Linked DNA regions of Oryzias latipes. The protein of the gene in region 3 interacts with the protein of the main gene of each other region in a pairwise test. Links are inferred from orthologs where the notes say so. Each region holds a gene or a part of one and is shown on either strand. Other genes may lie near its edges. The genes, in order: adarb1, lyar and prkra.

Evidence for each region.
Region 1: the proteins of prkra (region 3) and adarb1 interact in binary tests that used the Homo sapiens proteins (3 or more experiments, as listed by UniProt). The link is inferred for Oryzias latipes from reciprocal best matches to the Homo sapiens genes PRKRA and ADARB1.
Region 2: the proteins of prkra (region 3) and lyar interact in binary tests that used the Homo sapiens proteins (3 or more experiments, as listed by UniProt). The two-hybrid records come from large-scale screens. The link is inferred for Oryzias latipes from reciprocal best matches to the Homo sapiens genes PRKRA and LYAR.

What each region holds. Positions count from the first base shown.
Region 1 is NC_019879.2:26,491,473-26,498,026, forward strand, and holds the start of adarb1 (double-stranded RNA-specific editase 1), read right to left. Parts: upstream 3,791-6,554; 5' UTR 3,494-3,790; coding exon 3,394-3,493; intron 1-3,393. UniProt on the Homo sapiens protein: Catalyzes the hydrolytic deamination of adenosine to inosine in double-stranded RNA (dsRNA) referred to as A-to-I RNA editing.
Region 2 is NC_019863.2:16,778,217-16,784,744, reverse strand, and holds lyar (cell growth-regulating nucleolar protein), read right to left. Parts: upstream 4,419-6,528; 5' UTR 4,081-4,418; coding exon 3,959-4,080; intron 2,804-3,958; coding exon 2,689-2,803; intron 2,612-2,688; coding exon 2,504-2,611; intron 2,403-2,503; coding exon 2,322-2,402; intron 2,127-2,321; coding exon 1,823-2,126; intron 1,713-1,822; coding exon 1,644-1,712; intron 1,499-1,643; coding exon 1,413-1,498; intron 1,299-1,412; coding exon 1,161-1,298; 3' UTR 284-1,160; downstream 1-283. Other genes in the region: zbtb49 (zinc finger and BTB domain-containing protein 49), read left to right, coding at 5,114-5,265, 5,360-6,468. UniProt on the Homo sapiens protein: Plays a role in the maintenance of the appropriate processing of 47S/45S pre-rRNA to 32S/30S pre-rRNAs and their subsequent processing to produce 18S and 28S rRNAs. Also acts at the level of transcription regulation.
Region 3 is NC_019879.2:22,832,516-22,838,945, forward strand, and holds the start of prkra (interferon-inducible double-stranded RNA-dependent protein kinase activator A), read right to left. Parts: upstream 3,760-6,430; 5' UTR 3,564-3,759; coding exon 3,508-3,563; intron 2,475-3,507; coding exon 2,299-2,474; intron 1,796-2,298; coding exon 1,714-1,795; intron 1,538-1,713; coding exon 1,462-1,537; intron 1,245-1,461; coding exon 1,127-1,244; intron 1,049-1,126; coding exon 954-1,048; intron 867-953; coding exon 704-866; intron 1-703. Other genes in the region: protein FAM237A, read right to left, coding at 4,814-4,920. UniProt on the Homo sapiens protein: Activates EIF2AK2/PKR in the absence of double-stranded RNA (dsRNA), leading to phosphorylation of EIF2S1/EFI2-alpha and inhibition of translation and induction of apoptosis.

The DNA.
Region 1 (6,554 bases), about 3.7 Mb from region 3:
CAGTGCAAGAATGCAAGAACCGTGTGAGTTAGTGCAGTTGGTGCACCGACATGTTGTCATCTCGGAGCTGCATTTCACACCTTGTGCCCTTTCAGCCGTCAAGAAGATGAGATACGACTGACGGACGGGAAGCTTCAGTCCGATGAAAAAGGTTGTGACAGCAGACAGAGGGAAGGAGAGCGCGCCAACGCCCGACAGCGGGAGAATGAATGTCGGCTGGGTTGCCATGGCCAGATTAGCAGCCATGCAATATTACAAAAACAGTCATTGCAACCAGGATTTAGCTTCTCCTCTGCACAGCTGGAAAAGGTTGCACACTTGCACACAAAATTGTAATTTTCATCACCGTCTTCGGATCGACACCTATGACATGGAAGCAGCAGAGTCGCCTGCTGCAAAGGCGGAACATTTCGATATCCATTTGCATCTGCGGTAATGAAGTTCATCTCCCGGTGACAAAGGCGGTCGCCACAAACCGCTGCATGCATCCGTCTCCTGGGCTCCGAAGTGTCTCTCTGGCAGTAAACGCACCTCTGCGTTGCGTCCCGTCTCTCCCTCTGACAGTTTGTCATCAGCAACGTGCTAATCACAGCTAATTGCACCAAGACAGGAAAACAACTCCTTTCTGAGGTGGAGAGAGAGAGTTCAAGTGTTTGTGTTGTTTCCAATCCACAGTGTTTTTCTCAGAAGTAATGACAATGTTTTCTATTTAACTTCCTTTAAGAGATGCTGACAACGAATGCTAATCAGGTCCGGAAATCTATTTAGTCAACAACTGAGACTCTAACGAAAAGAATAAAAGTCTTCAACACAAAACAATCAACATCTAAAAAGATTTGTTTCAATTAAGAATTTTGAAATAAAAATAGCACTGAAATATTTTTAAATAACATTAAACAAATGATTGAGGCTGTCTGGAGTGCGGATCCCCTTTCTGCCCTCTGATAAACTTGCAAAAAGCTCATCTTGGAGATTGTGCTGGCACGGCAGAAAAGACCCCTCTTCCCAATTTTCCATATTTCATGCACGGCCCATTGGAAAGCAGCGTCTGCGAGCGTCAAGGCTTGGCGCATTTATAAGAGATGCGCTCGAGTTCAGCATTTCTAAAGCGGCTCAGCACGCCGAAATAAATCCAGATCACTACAGCACCAAAGAAAAAACAACACGGTAAGCAGCTGGGATATGTAGGTGTGGTAGAGAATCACCCTTAGAAGACCTAATTGTACTTTGAATGAAAAGTAATCAGAAGCAGGAAGACGTCAAAAATGAACTAATTGTCTCCGTTTTTCTCTACCATCTTATGTTCGTCTTTTGATTGCTGCTTTTAGTTTGTTTTTCTATGACTTCTCATCGTTAAAACTATGTTTATATATCTTTATGTCAAGCATCAAAGGTGATCTACAAATAAAGAGATAATGAAATGAGATCTAATACAACAAGCTACAGAATATCTATGTTAAGACAGACATTTGAATAGCAAATACCACATTAAATGAACATCAACGCTGATTGTGTTCTGGTTAACTGCTCCGAAAAGTCCAGAAATCTGCAGTTTTGACCACAAAAGAGCTTAAAGCTGAAAAATCTAAATTAAACACCTTTGTCATTAAAACAATTTGAAAATGAAGTTTTGTTAATTTTAGTGTGTTTTAATCAAAAGTCGGATTTCGAAGCAAAGCTTTCACAAATAGGTTTAAAAGTTTGCCACTAAAGGCGTTTTAACAAGTTCAAAACTGATCATAAAAGTAAAAATCTGTCACGTTTTTCTAGTAATCCAATTGAATGAGCTGCTGGGATTTGCAGGATAATATGACTTCGTAAACCCAGATTACAGAGTGCACTAAAAATGATCTGGAAGATAACGCATATCAAATACCAGGAACGGGTATCGCATCACACGGCCGAAGCACCATTTTAGGAGAAGTTCAGGAAAGAAGGGTTACAGAACTGTAACTATCTAGTACTTTTTCTTTAGCTTCCCAGTATTTTAACTACTACATTTATTTTTAAATATTTATTAGAAAAATTCAGGTAAAGCTGAATAAAAGGCTCTCAGCCCACTTTGTTGTGAACGCAGACTACTGACTGTAGATGACAACTGGACTGAGTGGGACGTCACCCTTGGTAACCACGGCAACTTCCAGCTCCAACCACATGACGTCAATTAAGTCGCCATTATCTTGTGATACAGACGGCGCCATGTTGGAGCCAGACGACGTCAGTAAGTAGTGATTAGTCCGACTTCTTAGAAGTGCCTGAATGAACTCCGCTTGGTTTTTACAAAGAACATTTGGGACTTATCAAGGAATAGGTGGGGCTCTGGGAATTGTAGTTATTTGGGAATTTAAGCTTTCTTTCTTTTTTATTTTGGACAAAAAAGTCTTTCTTTAGTAGTCAGGATAACAGTGTTTGAAAGTTCAGATGGAACAATGAACAACAATGAGACCATAAGTCCAGAAGACATTGATACAGCTGTGTGAAATGACACTTTAAGTCAAGTTTCTTTATAAAATTCTTTAAAAAAATCAACTCTATAAAGAAAGGTGTATTAAAAGGTGATTGTCTAAAGCTGTTAAAGACCCGGTCCAATGAAAATGGTGTTTTTAACATGTTCTGATAATGGAGGGCATATATTGAAAAACTGAAGCTTAACATTGTATTTCTGAGTATTTCTCTTTTTAAATTGTTGTGATAAAGGATTAAAAAATGCCATCCCATTTATACCCACACATTTTGCATCAGAGGGGGAGGATACCTGCCCACTACTCAGATTTGAATTTCTAATAAACTACCGTCGCTCTGCAAAAACTATGACTCAAAAAACAGCACCGTTTTTATTTTATTTGAACTAAAAACAGCTAAATCATAATCAAAAGACCACTGGGAACGTTTGGAAAGTTAAAAAAAAATTATCAGAGTGGGTCTTATTTATAAAGTTCCTTAGAAAAACGAAAAGCATCGTACATTAACAAGCGAATATAGAAAGTTGCAAAAAATTAAAAATGGATGCCAGAAAATTTTAATATCTATTAAAAAAATCATGTTTTATCTTTTTGAAGGACAATATGCAGCTTCTAAATAGTTTTTGTAAAATAAATACAATACATAATCTTAAATGAAGATTTTTTTTACTTAAAAAAATTTAAATAAGCTGTTACCCAGACAGATTATGCCAGATAAAAAATAAAAATCTTCCAACAGAAAACTTCATTGTAGAGCTTTAATCTTGGAACTCTCCTCAAATAAAGCCGTCTGCTGATGCCACCTGACAAGAAGGCATTAAAAACTCAAATGTTTCCTGAGGCAGGATCAATGTTTCTTTGGGGGAAGTGAGGCTTTCTCCTGAGCCGCCTCGGCTGCTCCGCAGCCTCATAACTTCCACTGGTGGGTTACCTTTGCGTTCCGACCGCTTCTTCCGCCTCCTCTTGAACTTGCGTCGGATCAGACAATAATAGGAGCCCAGACTCTGCGCCTCGTTGCTGAAAAGAGCCATGATTTGATGCCCACTTACACCCCCCCCAAAAAAAAACGCCCAAAACAAATCAAGTAAAAGGCTTTTGAAAGATCAGGTAAAACTTCAACCCCTGCAGTGATCCCAATTAAATGATCTACAAGTTCCTCCTGTGCGACCACATGGTGATAGCAACAGATCGACCCCACACACCTGCAGCCTCTCTTTGTTTCTACCCTCACATCCAAACTCCTTTTCTATCCCTCCCCTCTCTTCACCGCCTCCTCTCGCTGCTTCTCTCCTCCGTTGACTCCATGTCTGCCCTATCAGGAGTCGGAGAGGGGGAGGCGAAGGGGGTGGTGAGGAAGGAGGAGACTTGGAAAGGAGTGAGAGTCATACCTTCAGGTTTATAAGAATGAACAAATGTGAAAAGGCAGCCTACACCTGTCTGAAATGTATCTGACCTTTGCAACAAGCAAGCAGCCTCCCCCCCCCCCCAGCTCCCTCCTGCAACAAGCAACCACTAAGGTTCTTTTGTGGTCATGTTTCTTCTGCAGTGGAAACTTCAACCCCTTCTGTATCACATACAGCACATTAAGATCAGATTTACAAGTTTGCACACCAAGAAAATGGGTATTTTTGGGGTGTTGGACACTCAGCCTGAAAAGTCACTACAATGATGGAGACGCAACCCGATAGGAAACACTCTGCCTCCCTCTGGTGGCCACACATAGTAACAACATGTATTTGGCAGAAAATGAATTACGATTATGAAGATATAGCTTAAAAACAAACAAACAAACATTTCACACAACCTTGAAAACTTCAAAGCTGTTTGGAGTACAGAAAAAGACAAAAACACATGACTGAAAATGAAAGGAGTAGAAGGAAAAAACTCACCTTTGGCTCTGCAACGACTGTCACGGGAGAAACCTGTTGGACACAGAAAGAATAGTTTCCAGATAAGTAAAGGACAAAAACTTTCACTGACCTCTGTCACATCGTCATCTGAGACACACAGAAAAGCTGTTTAACAGAAGGGTGGGAAGCACAGAGGGATTTAAAAAAAAGGAAGAGCCATGCAGCAGATGAGGATGCCTTTTCATTTTCCTCAGAAATTAACTGGTGTATGTGAGACGTTCTTTGGCGCAGAGCGACCCCGCCCCCCCTTCCCCCTTCGGTTGCGAAAAAGGGAGCTAGCTCTGACATTTAAGCATTGTTTATCGTCTGCTCGCGATTCACCATTTGAATGAAAACAATTCCCAGACGTACAACTTTTATCTCCCATTTCTTTCTATGTGTCCTCCATCATCAAAAACGTGGGAAAAGGACATGTTCAAAACACACCAAAAACGTCATTTTTGTTGGAGAAACTATAATAAAGACAGAAGGGGAGATTTCCAGAGTGGGCACAAGTTAACACTTTGGATTTGATATTCTGCTCTAGTTAATCTGAAAAAACTGCAAACTACACATAAATAAGATGCAAGTTGAACAGATACAGATGGCTGGTTAACATATTCAATGTCGTGAAACTCATTTTACTAAACGATTTGAATGGTTTCTTCCTAACAAGTTGCCTGATACAGGTTCTGTTTTGGGTCTTTGGTTTGGAGAAAATGGATCGTCTTGTATTTTTATTTTATTTCTGACCTTCAGGAACAAAGACCTGGTTATTTCACTTTGTGATAAACAGTCCATTTGCCCTATTATATACTCTATTTTATAATTATCAGGGACAAAACTGTACAGTGAGGTAAAGATGCTGAGTTTCAGGTTTCCTCTGGAGTAAATGAAGCCGGATAGAGAAGTCAGTTGTCAAGTTGGCTTTGTTGCAAAAGTCCTTAAAATGTTTTGCACTTGTAAGAGTTGAACGAAATAGTGGAAAATACCCAAAACATGGTCACTGGTGTAATTCATGTCAACAATGCAACAAAAGAAACAATTGTTGATCATTATTAGTTTCAGGAAATTCTGATTTGTTCCGATATTGCGTCTCATCTCCTTGGTGTAGAATGAAGCATTTGATCGGCTGGTCCCAGCAGTGGAGCACAGTGAAAAGAAGCAAAAGAACTTATTTAACGATCAAGGCTCGTATTTCACACATTTCTAAGTAAAGGTACAAAATGCTTTTGTTTTATTTATTTTTTTTAACAGAGGAACACTTTTTTTTAAGATACAAAACGTTTTTACAGACACAAATCTCTTGTTTCAAATACCAAACCTTTTTACGGACAGACCACCCTTTTGCAGCAGATCTAATTCAATCGGTCACATTCAAACCGTAAACGGGGAAAGAACCAAAACGCATATGAATTCACGCAGAGGTCCATCTTTCTGACTAACTCCTGACAGGATAAATTTCTTTGTTTTCAGAGAGATTTCCATGGACTTTAGATCAGATTGGAGCGGATTGTGTTACTGAACCTTTATAGAAGACAATCACCAGGATTCTCATCTCCCTTCAACTCATTGGAATCAAACATTTCTGATCGTATATATTCTCCGTCTTTTGTATAACCGCATACAGAAAAACCTTTTCTGCAGTTATAGATTCCATCAAGTAAACTTTTCTGCCTTTTATTACGTACTTAAGTGTCTTTTTGGAATTGTGCCCCCGACATTCATGTGTGTAATTCCGATGCATGTAAGCTTGTTATGTTGCCATTTCACTGCATGGTTACTCCTTATGCTGGTGCAAAAGTGGGACACTTTCTCCTTAGTGACCGCATGGAAAAGTCTCACAATCAGGTAAACCATGAAGTTTCCCTCCATTATGCTTCCTGCAATTATTATGTTCTTATCGTTTAAGTATGTCAGTGAACTGTTTTTAAGGCTTTATAAGCCCAAAATGTTTGATATTTTTCATAAATTGCTTTGAGAATTAAAAAAAAATGAACAAAGTGGGTTTTTCTGATGGCTTTGAAATTTCCTAAATTAAACGGTTACCTTGGTAACGGCCAAGTTAAGGCATCCGCTGAGATTTTTACATCCTTCACACTCTGACACTATTTATTGCATCAGCAACTAATATTAGCAGTAAATACAATAAATAATGCAAAAGGTTATGAAAACACTTAAGTGTGTCTGTATATGTCCTAAA
Region 2 (6,528 bases), on a different chromosome or scaffold from region 3:
TATTAATTACAAAAATTACATTTTGACATGAAAAGTGTGAAAATACCATTAAAGTTGAATATTATCTATAACATGCGATCAAGCTTTTTTGAAGAATGATATGAAGCTAATCAAGCGAGTAAGGTAGATTACTGTGTTTAAAAATATTTTAGCAACAGTTAATTTAAAAGCTTCTAATAATAAACATTTTAAGTTTTTATATTAACTTGACATAGTAGGGACATTTACTACCTTATGCACTTTGTAATATAATAGAAAAAGAAAATTCAACGCTGACCCAATGGACAAAAAAAAAATATTTTAATGCAAGCAAACCTGAGTAACAGAATGACTTAAGCTCAGAGTGTGCAATTTCCTCTTACAGGTGAGCAGCTCAAGGAAATAGCATCAGTGTTAGGCCTTCTAGGATAAGCAGAGCTTCATAAAGGTGCACAGATTTCCTTGTTTTGTGTGTGTGTTTGTTTGTATCGAGGAAAGAGACTGCTCTTTCGAGATGTGGAAAATCAGAAAGCATTCAAATTTCACCTGAGGCTGACACCAAGCGTCCTGCTTCTATGGAGCTTGTGTGTGTCGGGCCAAGTGAACCCCATTGTGGCTGCAGAGGAATGCGCATTAGCTTCATCTTGGGTAAGAGTCAGATTCACCTCAGGAGGACCTCTCCCGTTTCCTTCCCACCCAAACTCTCAACATCCAATCCCACAGATAAGGTGCCATTTCCCAGCATCCCCAATAGCTCAGAATGTGCAACGGGGCAGTCTTCTATAACTGGCACGGTGTATGGAAACTTGTATAAATGACGCACCAGAGTAAATCTAAAACAAATAAATAACTAAAAAATATCTCAGGGCAAAACAATTCATTCAGCAAAGAACTATGAAGCATTTAAACCAAGGGTCCCCTAATACAGGCCTCCAGGGCCAGCCTCCTGCTAGTTTTCCAGAAATCCTGCCTCATCTGCTGCTGATTACCTAGATCAGGTGAGTTTAGCCAAAAAGGAGCTTTAATGGCAAGATGGTTGGAAAACATGTGGGACACCGGCCCTCGAGGCCAGAATTTGGACATCCCTAATTTGAACCTTTGCCATTACTGTAAAAAAAAAAAAATAATTATCGACAGTTGCAATGATTTTATTTTTAAAATCTTACAAAATACACGAGCATCTAATTGACAAGTTTCACTTGGTCTTTCAGAACTCTAAACTTCGGATTTTTGCTGATCTTTTTGTTGAATGTAGAAATCAGTTGTTCCTCTGTTTTAAAATTCCTCTCGCCAGTGAAAGAGTAATAAGCTGCCAAAACCTAAAATGTAAAGAAAGCCGGGATTAACCAAAAATCAAGATTCAACTAGCAAGAAAATATTTTAGATCAGGAATCTAACAGCAAACAAACAACTCTATCATCTATAAGCCTCACTTTCTTCTTGAGCCTTTTGATGGGCAGTTCCTGGTCAGGTGTTTTACGGAGAACCGCCATGATGGTTTCCTTCCAGTGGAATTTCCCTGTAAGGAAAACCAAAGAAATGAGCAACCAAATTAACATTTTCATATAATGAAGAACAAGACTGACCTCTACTGGACTCCCAATAAAATACAATCATTTAAGGACCATAACCCACTGGGTTAAGTCAGTCTAGAGTTAACTTACCCAGAGGAACAGCTTGATCTTCAGCCTCATTTGACATCTCAGCATCATTAGCCTCTGCTGCAACCTTAACTGGAAAAAAGGTTGAAAGAAAACAGGAACACAGGCCTTAAACACAAAAACCATCCTTTTTATCAAACAAACAAAAAAGTGTTGTAATAAGAAAAAAAAATGTTATTTACTCCTTTTCTTGGCAGATATCTCATTTTCATCACAGTTTTGCTCTTCATCTTCTGCTTCTTTGTGTTTTCTTTTTCCATCCTTTTTCCTTTTCCCTGTTTGGCTTTCTTTCTGCTCTTGTGTGACTTGTTCGTCATATAGTTTTGGAGCTTTTCCGTTGTTCTGCTGCCGGGCCTCTTTGCGTTCTCTTTTGTTCATCTTTTTGTTTTTCTTCACATCTTCGTGGCCAAACGGAGTTTGAGTTCCATTAGTGTTTGCTTGGACTTCAGCTTCTTTCTCCATGTGCTGCTGTGTATCTTCTGGAACCTGGGGTGCAAAAGATTACAGATAAGCAAAACAACAGTACAGTGAAAGAATGAACGGTATTACACAACACTTAATACATTTCCAGCCCTTAAATATCACATTAATATTATTTTCCATTGATTTCCATTAAAGCTTAGGCTCCCCAGCTAATAATTTAGTGTAATATTTACTTTAACAAACAAAACAGCTACTTACATCGACGGCAGCAGCAATTATGTTCCACACTTCCTCGTGTAGGCTTGTGTTGGATATTTTTAGACTGTTTTTCATCCAGTTCTGAAAGAAGAAAAAACATTAACAGTAATAAGTAAATACACATTTTAATAATCTTCCTGGTAAAAGCCTAAACCCTTCTTACAAGTTTTGGTAACACCAACCTGAAACTTGGCTTTCTTCCTGGGGACATTGTCGTATGCACTGACTTGCCTGAGCACATCTCTCAGCTTGGGACTGATGCTTGATTTGTTCAGGGCTTCATGGATTCTCTTCAGGAAAAGACACAAGTCAGGATCCAAAAGAAAAACAAATGTTCACATATAATCGAACTTGGGAAGATGTTTACCTGTAACCACTGCTGTTGTTTGACATCGCCTTTGTTTGCCTTGGCCTCGAAGCCTTTCCCCCCATACTTCTGGTCTTCACTGATACACTTAGTGTGATTTTTATAGTCGTCGTCCCTAGGTAATACGCAGAAAAGAGTCACATTGAATGCGTTACTTGGTCAGTCACAGAGCTCATTATGCGTTAGAATAGAGTATAAGAGAATAAATCTTTATTGATCCCACAAAAAGGAAATTTCCGTGTTACCATAGCTCTATTAAAAAACAGCAGATAGATAATAACTAATACTAAAAAATACACTTAAAAATGAAGAACAGTGATTATTCCCCAGTGTAGTGGCACTCTCTCTGTGTCTTTCTCTTGTTCCACCGTTTGACGTCTGTCCGGCAACTGTTATTTGAAACGCGAGTGAGACACGCAGAGAGAGTGCCACTACAATTTAGTCAAAAAACGATATCGCTTCCAACTTTCTCCGGCTTCAATCAACAATGAGTCTCACTAACAGCATCTCTGTGACGTAGGGTTTTTAATTGGAAGTTCAAACAATAATTATTTAAATTAACTATTAAATCAAAACAGTGCATTTGGCTCCAAAAATAACTATTAAATATAAACTGTGAATTTGGCTCCAACATCCAGTGTCTATGAGGTGTTGTAGAGTCTAGTAGCTAACAGAAAGAAAATTCTGTGACAAGGTGTTGAAGTCCATGGTTTCATGCTGAGGATGATGATGAAGAGGATTGTCCATGATGCATTTCAGTTTCTGTAACATCGTCCTGTGACCCTCCACAGTCACAGACTCTATAAGGGACATCCAGAATGGAGTCGTATCTCCATACCAGTTTGTTGATCCTCTTCCTATGTCAGTTAGTGCATCCGCCACCGCCCCAGGACTTCGCCACAATAAAAAAAAATCTTAAGAGTCCTGTAAACTCTGAAGAGACCCCAGTCTCCTCAGCCTCTCCTTCGATCTCCGGTCACTTCTCTGGTGGAATTTTGTTGTTGCCAAGCAACAACAGCTGATCGATGCACCCGTATCCCACTTCAGACCCAGAAGTGGTGGGAAATAGTCAAATTAGGGCTAGCAGGCACGTGACAACGCAAAAGAAGCCCAAGGCAATCAAAATCAGTTTAGAGAAAGAAACAAATCAAGTAAGCCTACAGGGCACTACGGTAACCTGCAGCCTAGTACCATGGCACCGGTTGGAGGAAAAACAAACTTGTTCCCGACGATATTTTGTAATGTTTAGAAATAACCCAATTGGTCTTACCAGAAATCTTTTCCGCAGTCAATGCAGGACAACACCTGACACCCACGGCAGATGTTCACGTGTTTATCGACCTGGGCTTTTTTCAGAGACTCGCCACACGCATTGCAGGTGAAGAACACCATTTTGATCAATTTTATCCACAGAAGCAACCTTTCTCTAAATTAATAAAGACAATATGTAGATTAAACCAGCAAAACGACAGAAAGTTAAACCACTTTAAACACCATCAATTAATGCACTGACTAGAGACCTGCCTACGGCAAGCTAACGTTTTTTCTAGTAAGTTATAAAAAACGCATGACAAAGAACAAAACCTTCATTGTCTTTAAAAATACCCAAAAATTAGAGCCCGTTAAATTAACCTCTTTAAAATTTTAATTTGAGCGTAAACGTGCGGGTTGAGTTTCTCCCGTCTAAACTTTTGAACAGACACGTGATTACATTCCTTGAAGCTACAGTCTTGATTCTCCGTATAGAAATTTTAACTAGACACCAGTTCCGCAGACCTTTTTTTTTCTTCCTGAAAACCTTTTTTTACATTTCATAACACAAAATAATTATACTACAAAGAGGTATATTTACGATTTCAACAGCACTTTAGAAATGTATATAGTCCCACTGTTTGGGGGTTTAGTATAAGATGTATTTCTTTCCCACGAGGGGTACAAAATAAGCGTTGTACCAGGAAGTTACGTAATGTTATTAAGCGCGAGTGACCCGTCATCCCAATAAAAGACGAAACACTTCACAATGATTTTGGGACCCCTCTGAATGGATATCGACAATAGTAAAATAATATATATAAATAAACACCTTTATAATTAAGACAGGTCAGCTGTTTATTTATTAGTTGTCATTGTAAATGGCTCGAATAGCCACGCTGTTAGCTTAGTAGCAGGTCAAATTTTTGCATGGACGGTCTTGTAGCGATTCTTGAGCTACATGACAGTTATTTTTGAAAAAATATATATATATATTTATACATGGACTGCGGTGTGTGGCTCACTACTAGAGTTCAACCCTTTAATCAACTTTTACTTTTGACTCGTAATCAACTTTTACTTTTGAGTCGTGTAAACTCAGGCTGTTGTTGTTGTTTTAAATGTGATTTTTGTGTGTTTCGCTTTGAAAAGGGGGGAAGCTGAGTGATCATAAATGGAGACCCTGTCCAGCCACAGCTCCTACCTCCTACAGCAGCTCCAGGAGCAAAGAATCCAAGGGCTGCTTTGTGACTGCATGCTGGTGGTTAAAGGAGTCTGTTTTAAAGCTCACAAAAACGTTCTGGCTGCTTTTAGTTCCTACTTTAGGTACTTTTATGCATTTATTTGACAACAGAATATCCACATGAGGTGTTGCTGTGAACCCTAAGAGATATGACCATTTTTTACATTTGTTTTTCAGGTCTTTGTTCCAAAATTCTCCCAGTCAGAAGAATGACGTCTTTAACTTGGTTATCCAAGATGTCAGTGGCATTGGCCAAATATTGGACTACATGTATACATCCCACCTGGACATTAACCAAGAGAATGTACAGGCACTTCTAGACATAGCACAGAACTTACAAGTTCCAAACGTTCAGAATTTGTGTAATGCTTTCCTCAAACCTTGCCCCCCACCCGTGGAAATGCATTCCTTCACTCTCCCAGGAATGCTAGGCTCAGAGCACGATTGCCTTCTGGGAAGCAGCCTGACTCACGATGTTAACCTGCACTGTCCCACAGAACCTCCACGGCCTAACTTATACAGTGATACGGAACACACTAGAAGAATGCCGGTTTCTTTACCCAACAGCAGCTCTAACTGTGACATGTCTAGCAGCTCCCAGTCTGCAGAAAAGCCTCTGCACCATGGATACAAGCTCCGTAATTTCTACAGTAAGCAGTACTTCAAGCTAAGTGCAATTCAGACTAACAATGCTGCTTCAAATCAAGTCCCAGGCCCTTTGATGATGGCAGAGGAACAAGCGTGTCAGCTCGGAATTACCCCCAGAGCTAGTGATACCTCTGTGACTTCAGGAAACCCACTAAGTTCTCAGCCACCATCTGCATCGGCAGGAAAGGATGTCCGTTCTTTAATGCCCTCAGACAATTTAAACACTCCTAACACAGATTTAGCTGATTCTCTGAGCAATAAGCCAGTTCGCCCAAAGAAAGCGGTGTATCTGAAGAAATATAATTACCTCCGCTCTCAAAAGGCTCTTGAGGAAATGTGCAACAAGTCAGTCAATGAACCTGTTATCAGCAGCCCCATAGAACACCATCAAGGTGAATCAGTGGTGCAGACAGAAACCTCAGAAGCTCCCGTTGAAATCAGCAGCGCAAGGAGAGAGGAGGTTTCAGAGTCAGCAGAGGTCCAGCTCTCCAATCTGCCTGGAAGCCAAGATGAGCCAAATCTGAAGTCTCTGCCAGAGCCTCCACAGCAGCCAGGACACAAGCAGTATTGCTGTGGGGTCTGTGGGAAGATCTTCAAACATCCAAGTAACCTGGAGCTGCACAAGCGCTCACATACTGGTATAACCTGTTTCTGCTGAATTTGGACACCAATGACCTGTTATTACATGAAGTCTCTTA
Region 3 (6,430 bases):
CATTGGATTGTGAGAGTGACAGCGTAAAAGGAGTTCTGTTGTTAAACGTCTTGAAAACAACGAACACACTTCAAACTTTTTTTAAATCTTCTAACTTAACTTTTATTGCATCTTTTAGAAAAACAGCTGCAGCTTCCAGCTTTTTCTGCAATAATTATCACAAAAATGCATGTGAGATTGTGGAGGGGCTGTAGATCAATACAGACTATGAGTTTCTCCTTTTTTTTTTCATTTTTGGATGCTGGTGTGCCGCGGGATTTTTTTTAAGCTTAAAGTGTGCCGTGGCTCAGAAAAGGTTGAAAAACACTGGCTTAAGCATTTCCCCAATTCAATTTGAAATTGCTTCAATTTCTTGAATTCATCGAGACACTTCATAAGAGTTTTTACCATCCTAAAGGATGACTAGAACAGCAGTGGATGCAGTTTATTTTTCACAAACTCTTACTGCTTAGAGAAAAGTTTCAACAAAGCTTGATTTATAGAAACTTCACATGTATTCTGTGTGTTTCTAATTACTTCTTGTGTTAAAGTGACCACAAGCAGTGCATACCCCCCCCCCTCTTTGTGGCCCCTTCAAAATGTAAAAATGTGTCCTTTGTCCCAATCAAGTAATAAGTGCTAATTCCAACAGATACTTATTAAAAGGAGGTAAAAGTAAAGGCTAGCAGGTTGGGGTAAAGGGGGCATGTAGATATATACTCACCAATATCAAAGTATGTGACTTCAAAGCCTTGCTCCAAGGAAAGCTCCAACATCAACTGAATATAATCCATGTTGGGAATGCTCAGTGGGTTTCTCCTCAGCAGGTTTATCTTCTCTGCCGTGGAGCTTCTTATGGTGTCAAATCGGACGCTCGGCTTTGGATTCTAGGAAATCAAAAGACAGTGGAGAAAGAAACGTTTCCTGAAAAGCGGTGCAGAGATGTTTCTGCAGAGGACGGAGTCTCCACTGACCCATGTGACTTCTGAACATCCTGACAAACTCTGAAGCTTTGCCATCATTTTCTCTGCGGCAGCCTTCTTTGCTGCCTTTTTGGAATTCCCTGCAGCTGCAACACAAAACACAACTTTAGGAGAAAGAAAAAACTGAAACACGCAAGGATTTTTTCTTTTGTAAATGCTCATACCTTTTTCTGATAAAGACTCCAGTCTGCAGGTGACTGTAAACTCTCTGATGTGTGGGGGGCCGGTCTCCCGTAAAACTGTGTACTCAGGGAGACGCCAACCTCTCTGCAACGCCAACTCCTGCATGAAACAAAGAGGAGGAGAGAGGATTTCAACGCATACAAAAAAAATGATTGAGTTTTTAAGAAATTCATTGATATTTCTAAATGGGATTAGTAAAAACTCTTCTGTAGGTTTATCATTATGAATGTTCATAATTGCAATTATTTTAAGGCTCAAAAAACCTGATCAAATGTTCTACAATAAAAAAGGACAAAAGCAAAAAGAGACTGAGTACCTGGAGTAGTCCTACAGAATTAGGAAGATGGTTGTTTGTTTCGGCGGCGTTGCTTAGACCCGTCGCAGCAACATGTCTGTCGAGCATCAAAGATTCATCAATCATCACTTAAAATGAGTCACATTTCTGTATAAAGAATGTCTAAAACTACTTGTATATTTGGCTAAAGCAAACAAGGAAAACTTAAAGGAGATTATTTTGGACAAGCAAGAACCCAAATATGCGCCGGCTCACCAGTTCAGGTCTACTTACCCAGCTCCAGCGTCTGTGTACAGAATATTCAGAGCAGCCTCTGCAGCTTGGTGCTTCGCAGCTTTTTTACTGGGACCCTGGCCTGAAATAAAAACATATCAATCCACTTTATTCTCCAGATTTATCTCTGCACGCAACATCCTAATAAGCAGCATTTTATGAACAAGTGCATTTTATATGTACCCCTATATTGCTTATTTGAAATAAAAACAAGCGTTTTTAAAGTACGGTATATTTTTTCTCTGAAAACTATTTGACTAAAAAGCAGATGTGACCAGAATTGTTGTTTGCAGAGCTTGTGAACAAACAGCTCTCGCCGTCCCCAGACGACGTGTTTCAGCTCTTTTCACACACATTCAAAGGATTCAGATCAGGACTCAAAGTGGGTCACTTCAGAACAGTGAAGTAATTTTTTGACCGTGTGTTTTTGGTCATTGGGCTGTTGGAAGGCTGATAATCTGTGACTGTGATTAAGATTTCCAACACTACAGAACTCATGTTGCTGTATGAGATATAATCTTGATCTCGTTATTTCCTGCACAGATTTAAAGCAGAGCCGACCCAGACCATGACACTTTAGCATACCTACGCATGTGACGTCACCGACTGTCACGCTGAAGACAAAGCTGGGCTGGTGAGCCTGGCCTTCAGCCTTCTCCATCATGAACATGGGATGGTTCCCACTTTTGATCCCATACTCATGCAGGATTTGAATTGGAGTCTTCCCAGGGTTATTCCACAGAGGTTCAACTGGGTTTAGGCTGGTGAAAAACAAGTACACCAAAATATTAAAGAAGAATAGAAACTGAATCCCCAAGATAAAAATTTAGGCGTTCAGTATGACAGCAGAAAAACATTTCAACAGAATAAATGACCAACTTAACCCCTTGAGGACTACATTTATTTCCAGCTATAAAACAAATCACTTCTGTTTTAGCATCGAAGTGATTTGATGCACATTTGCATCAATGATGATGTCTCCAAAGTTGGACTGAATGCAGCAACTGTTAAAGACCCACTTCAAAACATTTGTGTTTTTGGTATTTTTAACATGTTCTTATGGGATTTTTCTGATGATGGAGGACAAATATAAAGAAAATTAAGCTTACATTTGTATTTCTGAGTATTTCTTTATACAAGTCGTTGTGAATCAGGAGCAGATGAAAAAATGCAATTGGAAAAAGAGCTTATTTGTGGTTGAGAGCCCGGCGCCGTCTCACTTCATGATCATCCAGCACATTCAGGACCGTGATGTGCTGGATCTTCATGAATCTCACTTCAATAGAAAATACCGCAATTTTATATATTTAAAAATAAATAAATAAACATGCTGAGTCTTTTGAAAGCACACCCCAAGAAAATTGATTCCTAGTTAGAGTTACCGTAATTCTTTTTAAACCTGCCAATTGCTAGGCTTAATGACTCCCGCCTATGTGACCATATAACAAAACTCGTGGGTTTTTTGTTGTTGTTTGTTTTGTTTGTTTTTTGCAATTCTCCTTTCGGCAAACAGACGCTATAAATCAAGCCTAAATGACTCATTTGGCTATTTAAAAACCCCTAAAGTCATGTAAAGAGATTTGAACTCTTACCCTTACTCTTATTATTCCAACTTTAATTTAGAGCACACAAAACCCCAAAGAATCAACGAAAAGAATCTTTCCAGAACCGTTTTTTTTTTAGCAAAAACCCATCGTACATAACTGCAGTGTTGTAAACAATATAAATGCAGTTTTCATTGGGTTGTAACAACAACAAAAAACATCTATAAACTGGTAATAACAAAGCACCAACCTCGGTTCAGCGGTAGCAGTCATCATGGCTGGTGTCTGATATCCTTCCTGAGACATTTTGAAAGGTCAGACTGACACCCGGATACTTATTGTTTTACCCTTAACTAAAACTCCAACACGATGGTTTGATGTAGAACCAGGACATTTGATCGCAGTTGGCTAAAACATAAGGGAATAATGTTTTCATTCCCTTTCCCTTTCACTCCCTACAGTTAGAGCGTCGCCGGAAGACAAAAAGAAAAGTCCGACATCAACATCCGGGTCAACGATGGGTCAATAATCCTAAACAACAAAAACATGTTAGTGCCCTCTAGTGGTGAAACCTTTTAAAAATTAAAAATAAAAAACTATTGATTGAACATAACAGAACCTCTGGACAGAACATAGAAGGAAAAAAAACGTAATTTCATCCCGATAGAATAAACACAGAACAGATATTGTACATAAATAAATAAATAAAATAAGCACAAATTTAGCAATACAAGGCTTTTTTAAGGTAATAATCGGCAGAATTGTATCTTGAATAACTTATTCAAACTGTTAAAGAATTAAAAGAAGAAAAAAAACAAATCTCGTTATGAGGGGTTTAATGGTCAACCAGATTACAAAATGTTATTTATTTTCCCATATACTTCAAATCCCATTTATTTCGAATTCTTTTGATGTGTTGTACATTTTTTCACACATAAGTGTGTTGACATGTTCTAACGCTTAACCAAAAATGTATAGAAAATGAATTTTCTTTTCAGCACTCTTTTTTTTATGCAGACTATAATAGATTTAGCAAGGCAGAAGATTTAATTACAAGAAAGTCTTTTTTTTGTTGTTTGGTAATAGGATTCCAAATGTTACATAGAGTCTGAGAACAGAGTCTTGGGTTTTAACCAGCTTTACCTGTCTAGTTTTAACTAGATTAGGATGCCTAATATAGTTTTAACTACACTAGAAAATTTGCATTTCTTCTGCTTAAACATCTTCTTCCTCTTATTTTCTCTAGTAACAAATGCACCCCATACAGTGGTTTCACAGCATATTTTTATTTGCACAGTCAAGAACATACAGTTAGGACAGGAAACATGCACCTTTTGAAAAGGATGTTTAGTGCATTAGATGGACTAACAATAAACATTCAAAAAATTAATTGTTACTGAATAAAAAGTGGAAAATTAGGATTTAACCTCAACTCATGGCATTTATCTGAAACATTTTGTAGATATTGCATAAAGAAGTAAAAAAAAAAAAACATTTAGTCTTGCATGGAGCGTTTTTATTTAAATAAAAGGCTGTCTATGTGGATTTCCCAGCAGTCATTTATCACGGTTTGTCTTCAGGGTTGTGATGTGTCCTCTGCGTCTGACTCTCACACTGATCCAAGCGCGGGAGTTCACACCCGAACTGTTGAATCGGAAGGACTCTGTGAGAGAAACACACACACACGCAGAGGTTCAGCCTTTATCCAGTAGCTAAAAATGCTTTCATTCAAGAAAGGATGATGTTTATTGTCATGGAACAGGCAGTCAACAGTTTTTGGCAGTCAATAAGGGTCAGATGTGAAAAATAAACTTTTTTTTCATGTAGATACTGAAGTGAAAGGAGATTTTCTATAAAAACGAGAAAACAAAACATTTCCTTCGCTCCTTCCGCTGTCATAGAACGACAACAAAGAACAGAGTTGAGGGAGGAACCCTCCCCAGAAAAACTAAAAGCCACTCTTGGGAGTGAAAACATGCCAGCTGCATAACAGAGAGTGTGTTATTTATGCCTCATAGTTCAAACATTACAACTGTATGAATGAATGAATGAATAGAAAAAGAAACGGTGGCTAATTTCATTAATGACAATTCCTCTGCTCCAAAATACTGATTTACTAAACACGCATTAAACATAAATAATGATTTATTTTTTTAAGAAGAGGATAAACAATGGTAAAACCTGAGAAATTATCTAAATACACAACTTTTCTAATGATTTTTGATAACGATTTCTTGGATTTTGATTTTTGAAGGGTTTTAACAAAGCGCTTGTGTGTTAAGTTAAAGTTAAATTAAAACAACAATTTACATACTGTGTGGGACCAATAGTTCTATGATCCTACAAATCAACTGACTTTTTCTTAGCTACCTCTGCAAAAAAAAAACATAAAAATGCCAAAACAGACTGATTTTACTAACATAAATCAAAGGGCTTTCTTTAAAAACTAATGTTAAAACAACACTGAAATACAACATTGGGCTCATTTGGGAAAAGTGGCAAAGAAAGCTGTGGGTCATTGTGAAAAAAATGATAAGATTTTTTTTTTACAATAATGTAAATATAAAAAGGGAAAATAGCAATGGCCCAAGAATGGAGCCTTGAGGGACTCCAGAGGTCAAAAGAGCAGTGGTAGAAAAAACCTCAACATTGTAACAGCAAATAAATGACAGTTGTGGATTAAGAAAGAAATTAAGTCATTAAATAAAGTATTAGATTAGATTGAAACACCACAATGTTGGGGATTAGAAACTGAAATCAACAGCTCGATTTCTGATACTACTGATAAACTTTTGCACAATTGCCTTTCTTGGTGCAATTTTGTGAGCATCATTGCGCCAAAGAAGAACAATGAACTTATCTGTAACGCACATCAAACCACGAACCACGGCAGAAGAACAGAACAGCCCTCTCTCCAAGGAAAGGCATCCTTCGTGTTTTTTATTTTTTTAACAAAACATTTTTGAACATTGAAAAAAAAACTAAATTCATTTTTTTGGGGGGAAATTAACCTAAATGTTGATTTAAAAAGGGCTAAAAATGCCAAAATCTGACACCTGCAATTTAACCTGCAATTCTTTTTTCTTTTTTTTTTTTTAAATAAAAGTGAACCCTGGATTAGGGAATATCAATATAAATAGTATGACAGGTTAATGTTTCATATCCTCAAAAGT